Drosophila melanogaster: one gene and its partners. The protein of the gene in region 4 interacts with the protein of the main gene of each other region in a pairwise test. Each region holds a gene or a part of one and is shown on either strand. Other genes may lie near its edges. The genes, in order: Mes2, CG15071, RFeSP and Scp2.

Region 1 (8,178 bases), on a different chromosome or scaffold from region 4:
ATTTCTACGTTTTCAACTTAACAAGAAGTTATATTATATATAGGCGATATAATCTGGGTAAAATAAAAGGTTATATAAAGAATTGTTTCATGTGATGAGACGTTGGCATGAGTATGAACTACAGTTGATCGACTTAAAACGAAATTAACATTTAAAGCTTAATTAATCTATGTTTCTTATTTTGCTATTTCTTGGTTTACGTCTTTGTGTTGTCTTTTCGTTGAGTTTGGTTCATTTTTGTTAATAGGAGCGAAAAAATTAGAGAATGTTTTAGAAAATCATTCATATTTGATTGATCCTTTTGGTATGGCACAGATTTGGCATTGGCAAGTAAATTTGTATTTCTTTAGGAAAGTAATATATAATGGCAAGAAAATTCAGTTATAAGTGCTCTGAGCAGCAACATCATTCCATTATGTACTTTTTTTTGGCTACTATAATTACACCCGTACACTTAGCGCTCTTCTCCTCCGCTGTCTATTTCGTGGACCCTTCGCACTGCTGCACTTGAACCAGTAAGAGAAGAATGCGATTCATTAAATTGTCCGCGTCCGAGTCCTCCATGCTGTTTAGCTTGGCTGAAATAAAGCCGCAGAACTTGGAGTTCAAAACCTCACGTACAGTTTGTGGGGGCGGCAGATCCAACCCTCCGCTTGCGACGCCCTGTTGCTGCCGGAGATGGCGGTGCTGTTGCAGCATTTGTTCTTCGTAGTCGTCACCATCGATAACCGCATCGCCGTGACCGTTTCCTTCCTCCAAAACATCTTGATCGACGTTACGGCGAAGCTTGCGGGACATGACCACATCGTCCACACCAACATTGGGGCTACCGCGTGAGTTGGAATCCAGAATCAGAGGATAAGGGAAATCTGCATCGATGGCATCCAACTCCTCCACTACGTCGGATGCGTGGGCGATATCTTCGTCCCCGCTGCGTATCGAGCTGTCGTCCATGTCTTCATAGCTGTGATGCTGTGCCCTTTGCTCGTTTCTCGTTGAGCTCACCCGACTGTCGTTGTGAGCCTGGTGAGCGGGCAGAGGAAGTGGCCCGCCGCCGGAGCTACTCCCACTTGTGCTACTTCCGGCCCCACCGCCCACCGAGAGATCCAGCTCCGGCTTCACATAGTAGTCGCAATAGTAGTGATCGTCGCTTACATTGAGCGAGGAGCACTTTGAGAGATTTAACACTGAGGCGGACTCGTTAAAGGAATTGGACAGCTTCAGGGTCATTGCCTTTCCCCCTGCAGCCAAGCTGTTACTGTTGTTGTTGTTGTTGTTGTTATTGTTAATATGGCCATAGGTTGTCAGGCTTAGATCGGTTGCATGCGAAGCGCCCCTATAATAGAAAGAACATATGTTAGAAGACTAAATTATTTCACATTTTAACGGGTTTAAGGTTGGGTTTTACTTTTGCGTCATATTCAATATTCATATTCGCAGCAAGTCTGCGGTATTTTTTTATTTTGTATTGATGTTAAGTTGAATACTAATAAAAATTTGATGAAGGAGGTTGTTTAAAAGGGCATACAAAAAGATTAATAAATTTATTAAATACAATAACATATAACCGTGACTAGTGGTTATGTACATTGTTTTTAATACACTTTAAGAACCGCCTACGTTCTTAAATTAAAAGTAGAAAGAATACTTTTCTTTGTCTCTCACACATCATTTATAGTATAACAGATTTTCTTTCTCTTATCTTAAATTATATTAATTACAATAAATAAAAAAATATTAAATAATGCTGGCAATAATCATTTGCAAAACGTTGGGCAAAAAATTAGAAATAGAATAGTCTGAAAGACAAATCAATAAGTTCGTAAAACTTTGCTAGGTTGTCATCAACTAATTAGCTTTGTTTTATGCCGACGGACATTGCGATCGGATAGTGACCCTGATAAGGAAAGCATGTTCGTATTAATTGTGAGTTCGAAAACACACAAAAATATAATTGTATTAGCCTTATAGAGTTCATATGTTTCCTGTGACTCAACGATTCATATCCCCATTTTGAAATCTTGTCTGTTTAAGGCAATAACACAAGAAATGCATAAACATAAATGTCTTTCAGTGTAGTATCGCTTCCTGTCTCTCTCCTTACGCGTCTCAAGTTTCAAGAGCATTTTCACAGGCAATGCAGCTGCCTGGGCCGGGTGCTCAAAGAACATCTGAACGTGGCTATTTTGGGCCTCCCCCATACCTATAGTTATTTGCCGAATGCAAAGACCTGGCCTAGTGGTAGGCACGGGCATGGGCGACCTAGAAGACAGCCTTATCACCGCAATCGGCTGCAGGTAGTTGACAATTGTAAAATTTGAAAACTGATACTCGCTCGCCAGCCAAGACCAAAAAACTCGCAGGACTAATCGAGTCGAAATACATTTTCACATGTTCCACAATCGGGAATGGCTTTATTTACTTCATTATTTTGACTTGGTTTCTTTTCGGGGTTTGAATCGCTCAGCTTATCATTATTTGCTTCCGCTCTTGCTTAGGTCCCAAGCCGTTTTCCGAGATTGTTTATGGGTTTTTGTGGTTTGAATTCGTTTTCTAAAATCTCTATCACCTGCACTTGGAAACAAATCTATGAATATTAATATAATAATAACATAATTAAATATTCCAATGGTCCGAATGAGATTTTAGATTTTTGCAGACCTAGAACTTTTTATTATGATTTATTAGGCAAGAACTAGCTCCATGCAAAGGCATTTAAAGGTACGAGAATCAAAAGGCAAGCACGGACTACCGCCCACTTTTCTTCTTCCGTGACGCATTGGCTAAAGCATTTCAATGCGAAATACGGCGGACAGTGATTTCAGGGCGTGGGGCGAGATTCGGATTGTGGGGATGACGGACAGCCAAACAATTTCAGCAATTTCGCAGCACATTTGCTTATTAAATCATAAGCGTGACACAGACAGAGCCCAGCAGAACTTTCACACCCAAGTGGCCTCGTGTGTGTGAGGGTGAGGGTACGAGAGCCCCCCATTAAGAGAGGACTGAACGACGAAAGCATGTGGGCCAGGGCAGCCTGAAAGAGGCGTCCAGACCCCGACTCTGGGTCTCAGCAACCCCTTGGCCGGGACGCGGCCGATGCGGCTGGCTAATGGTCGTGGGCATATTTTTAACCCTGGCCGAAGTCAGACCAAGCTATTCGTTCAATTACTCAGCTCACCCATACAGCGATCTTTACGAGTGTTCGGTGCTCATGTCATACACACACAGGCAGAACCTCGCTCATTTTCCCTTACCAGCCCCTTTCTCGCTCACGAGCTACCAGTCTTTCCCAACTTGGTCCACTCGCAATCCGTATTCTTCGGTGCTGATTGTCATTTTCGTAGTGCTCTCATTAATTTATCGCTCTCTCGGCGCCTTCCCATAGTCCCCACCCCTCTCGCAAGCACTATTCGATGGACTTGGTCTTGCGTTTGCAGCTTCCCTCAATTTCGTTTTTGGTTCAAGCAGCGACGATGCTGCGACGTTGTATAATATTCGCCGCTTGGCGAGATCTGTGTTATGGCTATGGCTGTGGCTATAGCTGCGGCTATAGCTCCGGCTCAAGCGCTGCCCGACTGGCCGGGCCCGTTGAGCTGTCTGTTATCAGCTCACAATAATAAAAATTTAAATATATACACACACCATGGGTGAGTGTGCGCGGGCATGTGTCGGGGCCGTCGACTGCTTGTTGCCCATGTGGGTACAGTCAATTGAAAGGAAATGGCCTTATTTCATATAAATATGTACATAAAGTACACACACTCACACACACACACACACCCGCAGCTCGAGCACGGCTCCATATGAGCCAGAACATTGGACGGGGCAGACTCTCGACTGAGACCATTTGCGGGTCTCTGGCCCGGTCATTCCTTTGTTCGGATTGGTTTTTTCCACATTACCGCTCCTTAGTGTCCATATGCCCCCTTGCCTTGTTTTTGCTATTCTTTTTCGCTGGGCAGATGTTTTCTCAGACACGGTGCTGAGATTTGCTCGAATTGTTGGGCGTTTATGCAAATCGACTGGGCTAAGGGATGAGTTTTGTACGAAGGCTCGAATGGAAGTGGAATTTCGTAGTTACGGTTCGAATAACTTTATGCTAAACTTATCACATGTTTTTTATGTGACAATTGTATGTATTGTCTATTCGATCTGAACATATTTCCGAATTCTCAATTTATTTAAATTGTCAGATCTTTACGAAGTCCGTGATTCTATGATTTTTGAAATAAATTTATTGACATATTTTGTCCAACATTAGATCTAAGCCATGACTCACAAACTCATACACTTCTCAGTGTACATAAGCTGAAGTGGCTACTCGCATAAAATGATAAGATTCTTGGAATTTCCTGCAATAATTATTTTTGATTGAGCCAAGCTAAACAACATTGTTCGCTTGACTGACTACTGACAAGCACACATATTTTTAGGGGGGCAGATTCGGAAAAACCTCTTTCAGACACAGGACTGGAAAGCATACAATACCTTCGACCAATGTAAATGATCGTTGGAAAGGTGAGTCACATTATTATTGTGTATAAGTTAGCTAGTCTTCAAACTGATGCATGTATTTGTTTCGCATGAATCAATCCGTGTATGACCAAAACAGAAGACCAATCTAAACCGAAAACTGTTATTCACGACTCAAGCCAAACTTTGACCGTTGTTCGATGGTTGTATGGTTAGTGACGGCTTATCAAACTCATTGTAATATAAGTAGCCAAATGTACTCCTGACACAAATAATGTTCAGAGTGTAAGACGATATTATTGAAGAACTGTAGTCGTAAGGGAGCATTACTTTTGAGAAATAACGGTTCCACTTTTAGATTTGTTTTGGTATCGATCTCCAAAAAGCAGAGGATAAGAATAAGTACGTTAATTAAGATCATTTTGGGAAAGGTAAATATTGCCTAGAAAGATTAAAAGAAAACTTGGAAATAAGTGCAATACGTTCTGTAATAATTATTCGTTGATATAGAATTTCATGTACTTTACTATTCGATTATAAGAATGACTCGTATTTCTGTCAAATTTTAAATTTAAGCGCTCTTCTCTCGTGTTCTATTATTGCTTTTGCTTTTGTAAAGCCATTTGGATGAAGATCATTTTTAGTGACATGATTTGTGGTGTGGCAATAATGGGTCAAGCAGAGAATGCAAAATTCATAACGGGCTCTATATTACTGGTCAACCCCAGGAGTCGATATTGGCATGAAACTTCCTTGACGGTTTTAAATTTAAGAGAATCACCTGGTCACCAGTTCACTAAAATACTATTCCTTATACTTACTTTCGTTCTCTGATGACATCGCGCAGGAAATCCATGGCCTCATAGAGACTCCACTTGGGCTTGAAGCCATTGCCCATTAGCTTGACGTGGGCGAGTTCACGGCGGTAGGATTCCCTCAAGGACTTGAAGGCCCGTGCAACGCGACGCCCGGGAGCGTTGAACTCGCGGCCTATGTGCTCCCAGGCTCGGTTCTTTTCTTCTTCGGCGCCCTTGAAATTCGGGAGACGGGAGTCCCAGAGAATTGGATTGTCGTGCACCATTTGGATGAGCTTCAGCTTGTCGGAGGCGTTGCGCCGAACCACTGTTGGGACACAAAAATGAATGCAAATAATATAAGTCCTCGAGTCTCGACAGTCGAATATTTTAAGAAAGCACGGTACAGGCACCTCAAAACTTCTATAAGTCGAACTTTTTTAACCCAAATGTACATACATACGTATGTACGTATATGTATGTACATTGCACATAGGGTGAACCGAACTATTTGAATAGGCAATGAAGAGATAAAATAAATTCTACTGCTTGTTCGACGTATCGACTTTCGACTGCATTTTGCATAAAAATTGTACATATATACATATGTATGTACGTATGTTTGCATGAATGTGGGGAATAAATCTGTGTACGCACATTTCTTTATCTTCTGAGAGGGCATGGCAGTTGCGGCGGCCAGGGGGTGGGGCTCCAACTTGGGCTTCATGTCAAGAGCGATTGCCGCGGCGGCAGCACTCATGTCCTGCAGCGAGTGGGTGGCGGTGGGCAAACAGCCGCTCACGGGCGCCATCAGAATGTTCTGGAGGATTTGAAGGCTTGAACTGGCCAGGGCTCCACAGTACTCTTTAGTTCGGACGCGATCGCGGTCGGCTGATAACGGGGCTGCTACCCTCTCACGACCAAGTTTAAACGGCAACTAAAAACCAAGACCAGAAAATAACAACCACCGCGGCAAGCGGGCTGCGCTCAGCCGTCGTCGACGCCGAGCCGGCAGCGCAGTTGGCAGCAAGCCCGCATTCAGAGCCAAAAAATCACGCGCATTCGACATCGACATGAGAGCCAGCTATAGCTCTTTGCGCTCTCTGTCTCTCTCCGGCCGTGGCTCGCTGCCACCGTTCCCGTTATCTGATCCAGACATATAGGTCTAAAGCGCTCTCCGGGCGCTGCCTAGAGCGCGACTCGCCGGATGGAAACCCCGTTTAATCGCAATCACAAGCCACAGAAAGTAAAAGCAAGCGAAAAGCGGCGTCGCACACACACACACACACAACAGGGAGAACGCGCAGAACGAAACAACAGAAAATGTGTGTAATACAAAAATCCGTTGACGCGTTCGCATTTGGTTTTAGCAGAGGAATTGTCGAGCGTTCGTACGTACTTGCATACATATGTATGTATGTACTACATGAATGTACCATATACACATGTATGTACATACATACATACGTACCAAAATACTTGGATAGCGTTTCTTGGCAGAATACGCTGCACTTCGGCCATATCAGCTTCAATTAATATAGGGGGGTCGATTCCCGTATCGGAACAATTTCGAGGAATTTAAAGAATTCATGACTATGTACATATGTACATACATTTATTGTAAATCTCCAACGCATTAAGGTTTTAGACTAACATAATAATTATAAGTTTACTGGAGTACACACATACATATAATCTTGATCTGTCCGCCTGTCCGTTCGCATGCAAGTTAGTGCGTTCGCAAGCCTATCCAGACGCCATGAAACCGTTTATTGGCCAGGTATCCTGCTCTCAGTTGTGAAAAGGGATTTGATTTTCATTTCATTTTGTTATATAAATGTAAATTTCCATCGAAATGACAAAAAAAATCTCAAAATTCGCTGAGTAACGGGTATCTGATAGTCGAAAGTAATCGACTATTGTTCTCTCTTGTTTTAAATAAATAAGAAGAGAGAACGCACGAGTTCCCCGAATATCAAATACCTTTTACTCAGCTAGTGGAAGTGAGAACGCGAAATTTCATAATTTTTTAGGACCATCGATAGATATTGGACAAGAAGAAATGGGAGGTTTGTGGTCGTTAGAGTGGGCGTGGCATAAAGTTTTTGTAGCAAATCGATAGAATTTTACAATACTAATAAAAATGTGAAAAAAAGATATAACATATTTTTCAAATGTGTGTCCGTGACAGGTTTCTGCGGCTTACGGTCGATAGTGGGTGTGGCATAATCGATAAAAATTTATAATTAAAAAAGATGAAAAAATATCAAAACTTTTTTAAAAGTTTTTTTGCAAAACCATACACATTTGCAAGACTAATAAAACTATGAAAGAATATCAAAACAGTTTTCAAAAGTGTGGGCGTGACAGTTTTGCCCGACTTGTGGGCGTGGAAGCAAACTGGCTCTGTGTCTATGTTTCTAGAATCTGTATGCATAATCTTGACCTTCTAGTTCTTATAGCTCCTGAGATTTCGACGTTCAACGGACGGACAGGCTATTGATCCTGATCAATAATATGAATACTTTCTATCTGTTAAATACTTTTTAACGAATCTAATATACTCTTTTATACTACGAGTAACGAGTATAATTACTGGAAGATAAATAATTTTGTGTAGAATTTACGATATAAGAGCACAAATTTGTTGTTAAATGTAAAGAGGGCTAAATATACTCATCGGACGATCTGATTCCATCAATGGCTGGCTGCTTGACTTAAAGATTTATAATTTTTTTCCAGGGGGCCTGGCCATAGCTTAAGCAATGAATAGTTGAAGAAGGGTGGGTTAGTGTTCTACCACAGTGTGTTTTTGTGGACTCCGCCCGTGGCTGGCTTCGTTCGCTGCAGTTGTAGAGTCGAAGTTCAGTTCATTATCGTATTTCCCCGTTTATAGAATTTACAAATG
Region 2 (3,492 bases), on a different chromosome or scaffold from region 4:
ATCATAGCCTAGCTTACATGATTTCCTCTAGTGAAAATCTGCGGGGGAAATGACTCTGAAATAAACAGTTTTATCATTTCTTAGCCAATATAAATAGTATTAATTGATTTCTTTCTTTGTTTAGAGTTCTACGCTCTCTTGATCGCTTTCATGTGCCGTTTTTCAAATTGAATTTCAGTTTACTTTCTTTGTGTGCGGAATGTGTTTGCACTCAATTGGCAAGTTTTAGTTTAATTGAATTTTTCTGTAGTTGCCTTGGCAACTGTTTTAATGCTCCAATTGATGCAATTAAGCACCAGCCATGCAGCGTAGACACTCTATATACCACTCGTGTTTGTTTTTACATAGAGAAAAGCAGGGGAACTTAAATAAAATATTTTTTAAATTTCATTCCAAGTTAAGATGAAAAACCGCATTGCAAATGTGAGTTTTTAAACTGTTTAAACTGTATGCTACTATACATTTCATTATTTATATGTCGATATTATTTCTCTCTGTGCAGCCCTATGCTCTACCCGTCTCTTTCTGGTCAATTCACACCGTCTCGCTCACATTTGTTGATTGATCTTTCGCTATGGGCAAATATTTAAGCTGCCGTCTGAGCGTTGCCTTTTGGCCAGCAGACCGAAAACATGTTTGAACATCTAACACGCGTCAGACCGAAAAGAAGCGAGTGCAAGCGGGACGGAGATGATGAGCGAGCGAGATGGGTGGCTGAAATCGTTTAACAATTTTTATTTACCTTTTTATTAACAATTTCGCGGCTTTTTGCAGCTCACCATTCGTGTGTCTGCGGTTTTTATCATATTTCTACTGTGTGTGTGTGTGTTTACAAAACCCAAAAAATTATGCGCACTAAATCTAAGGTCGACCTTTTGCCTTTCCTTTGCATTTCCACGTTCATATTTGTATGCTTTTGATACTAACAAAACTATGCTATCTGCAGCAAAAAAAAAAAATACGCATACATACATACATTCCAATGATAAGCACAAATGCTATCAGTGGAGTTGCTTCTTCTGCTGATTTTTCATCCACGATGTTTTGTCATCGCAAGAAAAGTAAATTCGCAAATCAGTCACGTGCGTTCGCTCTCTGTCTCTGTCGCACAGCGGAGTGGGTGGTGTGGGCGCAAGTGGGTTGTGGCTGGTGGGTGGGAGGGAGACAGAAGACAAACAGCACGCGCCAAGTTAATGCTGCCCGATTTGACTTTGCAGGCGATAGCAAAACAAATAATAAATCAACATTTCATCCGCACAAACAGTCAAACTTCCATACCAAGCACTTTTGTAATTCCAGCAATTTTAGCCGTACATAAAAAAAAAAGGCAATTTAAATATAAACGAATTTCGTTAGTTAACAGTGAATCTTAAATATAACGAACATTTTTGCATAATATATAAACCTTCTTAGCTTTGATTTCATTGATTGTAGATTGTGATTTAATATATTAGTTCCACTAAAGCAAGGCTCACTGTTGTATTTCCTACTTTTACTTTATACTTTTGTTAGTCCATTGAAACTTGATTAGCTCGCCAAACATTTGATCGTCACTTGAGTTTTTGGCTAGCAGGTGGATTTTCCCGGTCTCCCACAAGTACTGATTAGAAATTAGTTAGCCACGAAAGTGGTCTTCAAGCCACGACCCCGTTTGTCCCATTTCCATGGGCAATTAAGTAGGCCATGACATGGAAACAGTAATTGTACTAATCGATTTTCCATTTCCACTGAAAGTTACCGCTGCCGTTTGGAAAATTGTAAAATCCAGCCAAGCCAAATAAAGTTTACTGACCCCCGGCAGAAGCATAGAATTGTTGGCACAGCAGCCGGAAAAATCGAGGGGGGTGGAAAGGTTGCATATCGATTAAACACGTGGAAGGAGTGGGTGGGTGGTTGGGTGTGCTGGCAACACGTTTGATTACCGCGTGTAAATAAGAACAACCAAACGAGCGCTGCAGAAGTTGCAACGACTCTCTCCTTGGATGTTGTGCAACAATCACATGCTACCGAAGCCCCAATGGAAAATCCAAAAGACGATGAACAAAAGCCAACGGCTCCAAGGGCTCAACCGCCGGAAAAACCCGCTCGTAAACGGAATCAAGTTAAAATTCCGCCCAAGATCAGGGCGGCAAAACTAACACCTACCGCCATTCTGTGTGAATTGACGCGCCTGAAGGCGCAGCAAAAATATCTCGAATGCAATCAAGTCAAGCTGAATCCCAATAATTTCATACTCAAAGATGATGAGGGCACAGATTCAAAGACCGAGTCTTGCCAAGAGCCGGAAACTGGTCGAAATCCACGACCCAACAGTTCCTCCACGGCAGATCTAATAGGTCTGATCAACGAAATCGAACAGGAGAAACTTGTGCTCCATGAAAAACTTAAGCTATATAGCAGCGAAAAGCGTGGAGAGCTTCAGGATATGTGGCATTTTGTGGCCACCGTTAAGGAGGATGTCTTTCGGCCAGAACGTCTTAGCCAATATACAGTGAATGCTCTAAGGGAAAGAATCGTTGGCCTAAATGCCCAATTGTATCGCTTGGCTGCTAGGAACTCAAAGGAACTCGAAGAACTGAGGGAGCAGTACGCTAAAATGGAAATTGAAAATAAGCTGTTGTGGAAAGGTAGCATGTAGATTAATATACAGCAACTTTTGGATTAGTTTTTTTTTCACTTTTTCACATAGATAATATCCCAAAAATTTGTATTTGTTCTATAACTTGAATAGGCTTGCAAAACAATAAAGAAATATCTTTAAATCAAGTGGAATAGTTTCAAAAGTAGATATACCTACAAAGTATTATCCAATCCAATTTAAATGCAAATACCATTAGTTTTGAAAAAGTATTACGGAGCAAATGCTTTTCTCGATGGCCATGCATTGCGATTTGCAGACAAATATTGCTGAAATTCTTGACATTGTTTCAGGGCCCTTATTTAATGGGCGACACTCGTAATCAACAACATTTTAGACCTTGCCTTGAGCTGCTTGCCTTTTAAATCAATAGGACCTTTTGATGCGACTTTTTTCGCCTTCGGCTGAAGGATTCCCAAACGGAGGCGACACTGGTATTTTCTGCCACGACTGCTATACTTGTTGTTGGTGTATTTCTGGTTGCGATTATTTTGAAATGTCTCATTTGCGAGCGCCGAGCTTGAGGTTCATCGCATTCGCCGGGCGACCAATGGGGAAAGGTCAAACGGCACGTGGCAATGGCATTTCTGTTTTTTCCATACTTTTTTTTCAGCCCTACCCCCCCCCCCCCCAAGCCTTTGGTTTTTCCTTGTTTCCCGTTGTTGGCTGAAGTTCAAAACCGGCTCACGTGGCATTGGCGATTTATAGGACGTAATATCAGTGCAGAATCAGCATTTGTTTCATGCAATTATGTAAAAGTATGACACTCATCTCGATTTCGCCGGCCATCGTCTAATTCGCTCAACAGACATTACGCATACGCCGCATTGCCCGGCAGCGAGAGCGCTCTTTGT
Region 3 (4,460 bases), on a different chromosome or scaffold from region 4:
TGGGCGTGGCGGCGCCTCCGCATCTGTCAGTCAGCCAGGGAACCTCAGAAACTTTTGCCTGCCACGCACAATTTTCCACTTTCAACTTTTCCAAGGGGTGGCGACCCACTCTGGGTGGGCTCAGCTTTATGCTTGGCTGATGTTGCGATAAGCAGGCCATGTCGTCGCCTACACGGCTAAAAGTATTTGAAAATAAACAATATATGACACACACCATTCATAATTCCCAAATAGGGTATAGCTTAAAAGTTAATAATAACTAAGCTAAACTTTAGGAAATGTAAATATCTCAATTATAAAGCTAAACAATACTTTTTCGAGTGTATTTCGGCTCTTGCTACTGCTGTGCTGATGTTGTTGCTGCCGCAGCCGCAACGCTGCACACGCCGCACAGAAATGGTTGAAAAGGGGGTGGAGTGTGCGGCAAGAAGCGTGGCAGGGAGTGGTAAGGGGGGTAAGGGGGGGCTGCCCTGGGGCAGGGTTGAAACTTTGTTGTTGCTACTGCTGCTGTTGTAGTTGGCGCCAGTTTCCCATGTAAAAGTTGCTGAAAAGTGTAACGCAGTCGAAGCTTGACAAGAGTTAAGTCTGAGTGGGGATGCGGTCGAGTTTTGAAGTTGGAGGCGTTGTGGTGGCTGGAAAATTCGGTGGGTGGATGCGCAAAATCCAGGGAAAGGGCAGATGCCATTGCCACGTCGCCTACGCGGCATAGTTTCAACTTTTCAGGCCTCTACACTGTCAGAAATTGATATGTCAAATATTGGAACATAACAAGTGGTTACTGTTTGTGTCCTAGATATTAAAATGCATAATAAATAAATAAATCTCATTTCCGCACAAAAAAACGTCTGTTATTTTGTGTAAATGTAGAGTATCCCCTTGTTCATATCCCAACTACATTATGAAGTTTGTTTTTGGCCAAATTTTACGCACTTTTCCGTAGGAACCCATTTTGTATGTGTGCGTGTTTTGGGCCAAGTACATAGAGGCGCCGTTATGTGCGCAGATTTTCCTCCTCCGGCTGGGAAATAGATGAACACATCGCAGCGGAGCGAGGAGTGGAGCACTTTCGGGCCCACTTTCACTTGCCACCTAGCCAGTGAAAGGAGGAGGGGAGTGGGTGGCAGCAAAGTTTCGACATCAAAAAGAACTACTTTCGATAATCACAGGACTGGCGCCAGAGGAATTACATTTCAGCCGGCTGCGGGAGAGTTTTCCCCGCTGCCACGGCCGCTTTTTTGGTTTTAAAGTTTGGCCAAATTTCGGGCGGCAAACTTTTATGCGCATAACAAATTCCCCTACATCGGCTGTTTTTTATGCAGTTTTTATTGCCATTTTATGCGTTGGATGAGATCAGCCGAGGCATATCTCCAATTCAGGAGCTACGCTTATTAATTAAGCTGAGAGAAACTACCCCGAAGAAAATAGGCAACATCCAGCAAAGTCCAATCAATGACATCATAATGATGCTGCCCGGGGGAAAATGGAAAAGTGCAGTGGAAAAACTGGATAGTGAAAGTCCGGTGGTTGGACCTCGTCTTTTGTTCTCCACTCGGTGGTGCGTTGACCAACCGGTTTGCCATGGAAACCCCTTTTCATCCGGGCTAAATCTATGCCACTGCAGTTTCCAATTGAAAAGAAAGGTAGTTTTCACTTGAATGAAAAGGTCGAAGGGTGGAAACTGAGCCTCCTTTTCACCTTTCGAAGGAAAACGAAAGGGGATGAAGGATTGAACGGCAAGGTGAAACAAATGCAATTTAATTCGACGCAGGATTATCATTTCAACATGAAATGCATATCAATTTAAATTAAAGTAAAAGCTTTTATGCACTGCGGGGTGGTTTAACGAGCTACAATATCATTTGTTCCAAAAATTATTTGAAATTCTATTCACCTATTTAAAAAACCGTTACTGGGCTGTAATAGCGGCCAGCTCCTGACAGTGAGCAATCGTAGTGGCAACTCTGAGAATGCAAATAGCTGGCAGCACTATACACTAATATATACTAGTATATTGTGGTATTTTTTGCAGGTTACCTGGTATTTCTCACCCACTTGAGTGCGGTCACACTGGTTCTCAGACGAAAACGACAAACGTCGAAATTTTCGTGATCATTTAATTTGATAGGGAAACATACAAAATGATGAACGCCGTGTCGCGTGCTTACGTCAGAGGCGGAGCCCAGGTCCTCTCCACGGGATTGAAGGCGAGCGGCGTGGCCGTCAACTCGATGGGTAAGGCTCTGCGAGGCGAATTCATCGAGCTGCCAGCTGAAAACACAGCCATTACATAATGAATGGATCGGGAAATAGGCGGAAAAAGTTGAATAAAAGCTTGGAAATGCCACCAGGACGTGATTTGCACTCGGCTTTAAGGCGATTTGTCAAATTTCCTTACGTAATTTCAACATAACCTCGTACAATAACAACAATCACTGGCTCACAAGCACACCTGCAATTTACATCGGATCTGTGGGATATACTCAATCGATTTCTGCCAAACGTGGGATTTACTACCTCTGGGACCAGGAATATCATCATGCGAAGTTTGGCACCTCTGTCTGCAAGGGACGCCAAGTTATGCCAAGTTGGCCCAAGATGCCCTGTGTCGGCTATAAGAAATATACCTTCAGCCTTGACAACCCCAAAACAATGTTGTTTACACTCTTCACTGCCCACCACACAAAAAATTTATGATTATATCAGCAACACTGCTCTGCAAACAAGCACAAGGATCTATAGAACCTCTGCACTTCGATCAATGGATAATTAATGATTCCCTCCTTCCTTTCAGCCAATCGCCAGGCACACACCGACCTGCAGGTGCCAGACTTCTCGGCATACCGCCGGGAGTCCGTGAAGGACAGTCGTCGTCGCAACGACACCGCCGAGGAGCGCAAGGCCTTCTCCTACTTGATGGTCGGCGCCGGAGCCGTGGGCGGTGCCTATGCGGCCAAGGGCCTGGTTAACACCTTCATCGGATCGATGAGCGCCTCCGCCGAAGTGCTGGCCATGGCCAAGATCGAGATCAAGCTGTCCGACATCCCGGAGGGCAAGTCGGTTACTTTCAAGTGGCGCGGAAAGCCCCTGTTCATCCGCCACCGCACGGCCGCGGAAATCGAGACCGAGCGAAATGTGCCCACATCCACGCTGCGCGATCCGGAGGCTGATGATGTAGGTACCGTGGAGTGGGTCGATTCGCTAATGCTGTTACCCATTTCCTCTTTAGCAACGTGTGATCAAGCCCGAGTGGCTGGTGGTCATCGGAGTGTGCACGCATCTGGGCTGTGTGCCCATCGCGAACGCCGGCGACTGGGGTGGCTACTACTGCCCCTGCCACGGCTCCCACTACGACGCCTCCGGAAGGATCCGCAAGGGACCCGCGCCCCTCAACTTGGAGGTGCCCACCCACGAGTTCCCCAACGAGGGTCTTCTCGTGGTCGGCTAGAGGAGCTGTTATCGTTTAAGCCCCCAACTGCATAGTGAATGGATCGATGTAAATTAATAAATACAACCAAACAGAACGACCGAGCATAAACGAGCAATTCATTCGAACTGAGGAGGAATAAATGTGAAGGGCTTAAATCCAGCAGCCTAAATCCAGCTTACTTGTTAAAATGTAGACGAATCTTTAGAAGTTTGACAGACATTATTAAATCTTTTGAAGATGTAATTGTTTGCTTCTGGTTTCAAAAATCAAGGAGTGTACATGAGTTTCTTTCGATAATCTTTTGTTTAACTAGGACTATAGTAATTACTGAAGAGCACTGACATTATGAAGACAAGAATAAATTAACTTATCCTAGCTAGCAATTCCTTAGGATGAAGCCTTGCTTTGCGCGACTTTGCGTCGTTTTTCGAGTATTTCCGCTTCGAGAAGTTCGTTTTTCAGGCGCATATTGCGCAGCTCCACCTTTCGCTGCTCCAGCTCGTATTTCTGCTTCTCCATCTCAAGCTTGTGCTTCTCGGCTGCCCGGGCGTTTTCGCATCGATAGTACTCCTGTTGCAGCCTGATCAGAACGACTTTTTCATCCTTCAGGGTATTCGTGGCATCCTCTTCTGAGCTCACATCGACTGACTCTTCATTTACATTCAGAGCTGAGTAGTTTGGTCTGTCAACTGAGTAGCTTGAGTTATTCGGCACGAGCTTGACTTCGGTAGAGGCGCTTCTGAGGCTTTTTCGGTTCAATTCCGATTCGAAATAGGTACTACCTGCAAGATGTTTTTAGAGTTTATTAGAGATAAAGCACTGAAATATTGCTGTAGAAGAACCTATCATGGTAAGACTATTAAGGTACATCTTGTCAACTACCACGTTCATGCTTTTGATCCTGCCATCCTTTACTCACTTTCTTCATTATCAGCAGCTGCAGCCAGCGAAGAAACTCCCGAAATGGACAAATTCTGCACCGAATCTGATGCATTGTCAGTCTTTGCCTCCTCGTCACTCAGTGTTCCGTTCT
Region 4 (5,099 bases):
AAAAAAAAAAACTACATGAAATAGGTGGACAGCTAAACGTTGTGAAATGGGGCCAAACGCTAGAAGGCATTCAAGATTTTAGTGGGTCTTTGGCCAGGCTCATGTTAATTTCAAACTGTGTCAATGTCGGCTTCCGTTTCCTGCACACACACACAGGACGTAGCCTTTGGCCACTTGAGATGCAAAGAGGTAAAAAGGCCACAAATTTAAACATTTGCCCACTCCAACACGCACCGTCGCTCCCACACACACACACACACACTTACAAAAAGAAATCAAGGTGGCCGGAACGAAACATTGGTAAAACGGTCATCTGCAATAAGCATCAGCTGCTGCTGGAACAGCGTGAAAGTGGAACAAGCAGAGGCTGCAGGACACCCGCTGGGCGAGAAGCACAGGATGTGGGCCAAAAAGGCACGGGGAGCCTGCTCCTGAGGCGCTTGATAAATTGGTAGCGACATTTCAGCCGAAACTTGACAATTAACAGCTGAAATACATGAGCTGTATATGTCTGCTTTGTGTAATTAAAAACCCAGCAGACAGCCTGGAAATTGCTTGGCCAAAATGCTTTCATTTTTTTTTCGGTTCTAGCCACTTTCGTCGGTTGGTGGTCCACTCTTGGACAAGATTGAATGCGCCAACAGAAATTATGCCGCCAAGTGTGCCTTATATTGCTGCTACTGCTGCTCTTGCAGCAGCTGTTTTGGCTGCCTTCTTCTTTGGGCCAAATTAACTTTAGCCAAGTTGAGTCCACAGCCAGCCTATGTGTTTGTGTGTGTCCGTGTTGCCTTCTTTTAAGGGAGAGCATGCCTGTGTGAGTGCTTCAGTTTATTGTGTGTGTGTCAAGGCTATGCTAAAAATTTGTCCAGAACATTTGCACATTTTGATTTGTTATGTTGTGGTGCACTGCAAACAATGTCGATGTATTTGGGTGGATGCTGTACGAGTATTATGTTGTATTGGGTCTCATCTACATCATCGTGATCATAATGTGCTGTTAGCAAAACTCAATTTCTTTTAAATCCTTTGGGGTTTATTTGCCAAGTTGTAATTAATTGAATTATTTCCCAGAAGAAATTATTATGTTGATTTATCTTCGAGTATACGTTTGCTGTATTATGGGGAGCGTGCTATAGTTTATTGGTAAATTAGTAATTTATGTTGACTAATAGATTGCCTCCTTTTCGGCTTTATCATTGTTTTTGTGCAGCTTAGACTTTGCTTCTTCGATGGAACAAAGTTTTGCGATAAAAGGGCGATCAACGTTTAAAGTTGGCTTAGGAAAACCTCTAGAACAGTTCTAAATTTTGGTAGTAACTAAACGAGAAAGCCAGCACACATCCCTCAGTGTCTTTTTGGCCACCCGAGGCGTCGTAACCCCTGAGCCCAACATTGTATGCGAATGCCGCTCCGATAAGACGTGCCATTTAATTACCAAAATATAAAGTGCATTCCGGCTACCAGAGCGCCCAGCATGGAGTTTTCTGCGAGTGTCAAATCCCAAAACAAACCCACGAGCAAATATGCCGCATGCTGATGACGACGGCGATGCCGATGTTCGGCTCGTAACAGTGCACGTGGTGGCCAAAAAGCACGCTACATGCACTACATCTACTCATACACTTACTCACACACGCACACACACACACACACACACACACAGGCTCGTGTCGGGTGCAGCACTCACTCACACCATGACGAGTGCAGAGGCGTCGGCAGAGTCGACCGAGACGGCGACTGCGATAAGATAAAGCCCCTGCGATGACATAGAGCACCCAGAGCGCTCGAGTTCTGCCGACGCTGGCAGAGATGGCGGCGCAGACGAGTAGCGCATATAAAAGCCGCTGACTCGATGGCAACGAGCATCACAAGACGGCCAACCGCGCTGCCGAGCAGACGAGTCCAGTTCGAGAGGGTACCAAAATTTAATCAGAAAGTGTAGAGTCAGTTTAGAAGCAACGGTAAAGTTAACGTCTATCTCTGTGTGTGAGTGTGTGTGTGTGTGCGAGTGCTAGTGCTAGTGCACCTGTGTTTGTGCTGAGAGTTTCCGCTACAAGAATAATAATGCCGCAACATTTTTCGAAAAAGCCCATTTCCAAAACCGACAAAAGAACAAGCCAAAAGTAACGAGCACAAGTGGGTGGCTCAAAGAGCTGCGAGGCTCAACAGGAACCAGAGCCCCAGTTTTCCTTGAGTGGGCAGATAGTTTGTGAAAGAAAGGTGGGGGTAGGGTATGCTGGAGGTACTTTTGCAAAAAACACAACCAACCTCTCGACAATTTAACAACTGGAAGAATATTCTTACTTCGCCCCACCTTGGTCAGGGCCATAATGAATTCATTGAAAGCGTGGCCAAAGTTTTGCTCTGGCCAAGCCAAGGAGAAGCGAACGCTGCCGCTCTAAGGATCCTCGTCCTGTCAGTCAGTCAGTCAGTCAGCCAGCCTGTGTCTGTTTTTTCGGTCCTGTTGTTTGGCCAGGCATGCGTCGGTGGCCTTAGGCCGCTCATTGTGAGCTCCTTGGCTCCACAGCTCCTCGGTGGCTGCAAATTGTAAATTGTAAAACTGTAAATTGTCAAACTGTAAATTAATGCAAATTACACGAAATTACTGCGAACCGGACAATGCAACAAAAGGCAAATAGTGGACGCGGAATACGGCGGACAGTGGACAGCGGACCACGGACAATTCCCGGAGCTGCATCAGCAGATAAAGAGCAAACGGCGACGCCACTTGCATTGTCTATTATTTTAAATTGGCTGCGCAAATTTACGGCAGCGCAAAAGTAATTAGCGACGGTTGAAAACTGTGCCATCGTCCAACTCGAATTGAGAATGAAGATGGGTGAGAATTGGAAAAGCGATTGGGTCATCTGGTCATCGGGGGGATTAGGCTGCTGCTGGGATCAGCAAACCGAGTTGTAGATTCCCTGCCAATGGCAGGCCAAATACGTATTCCACTGTCCAATTTGCATGCTGATGCAATCAAAACTACTACAATTTGTCCAGAAAATCGATCAATCGCATGTCTGACAGAGTGTAGCATACTTTTCAGCACTGCCTAACATTTGTCAGCTATCTGCATTTTTTTCGGACCCCATCCCACATTTTATTCTCTAATAATTTATGAGCTTCCTGCCTGCCCTCGCCTGTCGGGAATTCAGATTTTGCATAATAAACACATTGCAGCCCAAACCAAAAAACAAGAACCAGTTTATGCAAATCAAATTGTGTTGATAAACGAGTGGTAGGGTGTTCTCTAATTTGATTGCCCAATAAATTGCTGTATCGAATGAAACCATTTCGCATCTCGCGCGCCGATACTAAAAAAGCAATTAAAGCATTGATGTCTTCATATTGAAATTTATAACTTCACAGATGGCTATTAATTGCCGGAGAGGAGATAAAAGTCTGGGATTTCCGCCATATTTCCATTATTAGAAACTCGTTGCTGCGCTGCATGGCCCGAAAAATGAAAGCGAAACTCAAACAGAACCCAATTAACGAGCCTTCGGCGGTGATGTTGGTTAATGTGGTTGCCTCGTGCCACAAAAGCCGACGCAGTTTTGTGGCAAACAGCGCGTGGCTTTTATGCATTGGCGCATGAGTATTGGTAATTAATGGGAAGGCGGCGGCACAAATGACCGTGCCACAGCGACAAACAAACTTCCGCGCCACACGGCGTATGCGTAATGTGCTCGGCGCCCTACAAAGCGGAACCCAGCGGAAAACTGAAAAACAAATGACATCGATGAATTCAATTTGCGCGCATATTTAATTATTAAATGCGAGGATAAATAATACGCACATCAGGCTATTAAAAGGCTTTAAATTTCCACGGCCATTTCCCGTAGCCATTTCGAAAGTGCTACTGAAATGTGATTTCACTGCATTGCAATGCATTGGCTAGCAGGCTCGTAGATTATCCAGTCGAACTTAATCCCGTTTCCAATTGACCTGGAACAAGCAGACCATTTATATCACCTTTTATATATATTTATTTGCATTGATAAACTTATAAACATATAAAGATTTATGCTAGGAGAGAATATATCAGAATATAACAGAACTAAATAGTATGAATATTTTTGGATGAATATTATTGGCTCCAAACTGTTGTATGAAAACGGTTTCATTTGTCTTAAACGACGAACAAATTTCACAAGTGGTCTCATATTGATTTGTATTTTCCCGTATAAAAACATTAATTTCCTTATGCCCCTGGCTACGTGATTGTATTTCAGTTGAAAAGCACTTTTCATTCCCTTCTGGAAAGAAACTCACGGAATTGCAATTGCCAATGGAGATGGAAAGGGCGCCAAATTGAATATTACACTTTTTGTGTACTTTTAGCCAGTTGAGATGTGGATTATTTTTTCAGCATTCATTTTTTATTTTAACCAACATACTACCACTCCAATTTCACCTGATGTTAATTGAGGCGCACGTGGGAAATTAATGAACTGTGACAGTCTGATTTTTGCGCGCAAATGTGTGTGCATTAAATGCTAAATGAAGTTGACATCGGCTGCCGCATTGTTTGAGGCCATCGTTAATTTATTAATTAAACAAGCGATTTAACCTATTGCAATAATTGTCAAAATTAACCTTTATGACAGCGAAATTTGTGAATTCAATTAACATTGCCAAAGTCAGCTTTGCACAAGATTAATCGTTCTAAGGGAAAATGGAAGGAGGGCTTATGCAGCTTATGAATTTTTGCAATATACAGCATTATGAATACTGGGCCAGATTATTTTTTAATTTATTTTGACTCTTAACTTTTGACCTTGCTATGACATAATTTTAAATAAAATGTGGGTAATATTGTTGATTTTATTCCGTTTTTCATAAATTGTAATTGAACTAATCCACTTTTAAGCCAGCACTCACCTGCACTTCAGATGCCCGAAGGCAATAGAACCAATATTGATAATTCTTCCATTAGAATAACAATTTCCCCACCATTTTCTTGCATGTTTCAGCCCTGACTTGGCTTACAAACGGCAACCTTTTCGCCATAATAATATAATAATATTATCTTTAGTAAGAGTCAAATTTACGCGCACTTGACCAGAAACCTTTACGCCGTTCCTAGATCGGAT

What was found.
Region 1: the proteins of Scp2 (region 4) and Mes2 interact in a two-hybrid assay, tested with the Drosophila melanogaster proteins (one large-scale study listed by BioGRID).
Region 2: the proteins of Scp2 (region 4) and CG15071 interact in a two-hybrid assay, tested with the Drosophila melanogaster proteins (one large-scale study listed by BioGRID).
Region 3: the proteins of Scp2 (region 4) and RFeSP interact in a two-hybrid assay, tested with the Drosophila melanogaster proteins (one large-scale study listed by BioGRID).

The regions. Positions count from the first base shown.
Region 1 is NT_037436.4:22,943,690-22,951,867, reverse strand, and holds the start of Mes2 (Mesoderm-expressed 2), read right to left. Parts: upstream 6,212-8,178; 5' UTR 6,082-6,211; coding exon 5,928-6,081; intron 5,874-5,927; exon of another isoform or gene 5,684-5,873; intron 5,599-5,683; coding exon 5,298-5,598; intron 1,337-5,297; coding exon 478-1,336; 3' UTR 1-477.
Region 2 is NT_033778.4:18,694,617-18,698,108, forward strand, and holds CG15071 (uncharacterized protein), read left to right. Parts: upstream 1-1,968; 5' UTR 1,969-2,017; coding exon 2,018-2,638; 3' UTR 2,639-2,729; downstream 2,730-3,492.
Region 3 is NT_033779.5:1,611,755-1,616,214, reverse strand, and holds RFeSP (rieske iron-sulfur protein), read left to right. Parts: upstream 1-2,054; 5' UTR 2,055-2,138; coding exon 2,139-2,232; intron 2,233-2,791; coding exon 2,792-3,171; intron 3,172-3,226; coding exon 3,227-3,445; 3' UTR 3,446-3,786; downstream 3,787-4,460. Other genes in the region: CG14352 (uncharacterized protein), read right to left, coding at 3,815-4,209, 4,347-4,460.
Region 4 is NT_033777.3:16,580,426-16,585,524, reverse strand, and holds the start of Scp2 (sarcoplasmic calcium-binding protein 2), read left to right. Parts: upstream 1-1,861; 5' UTR 1,862-1,961; intron 1,962-5,099.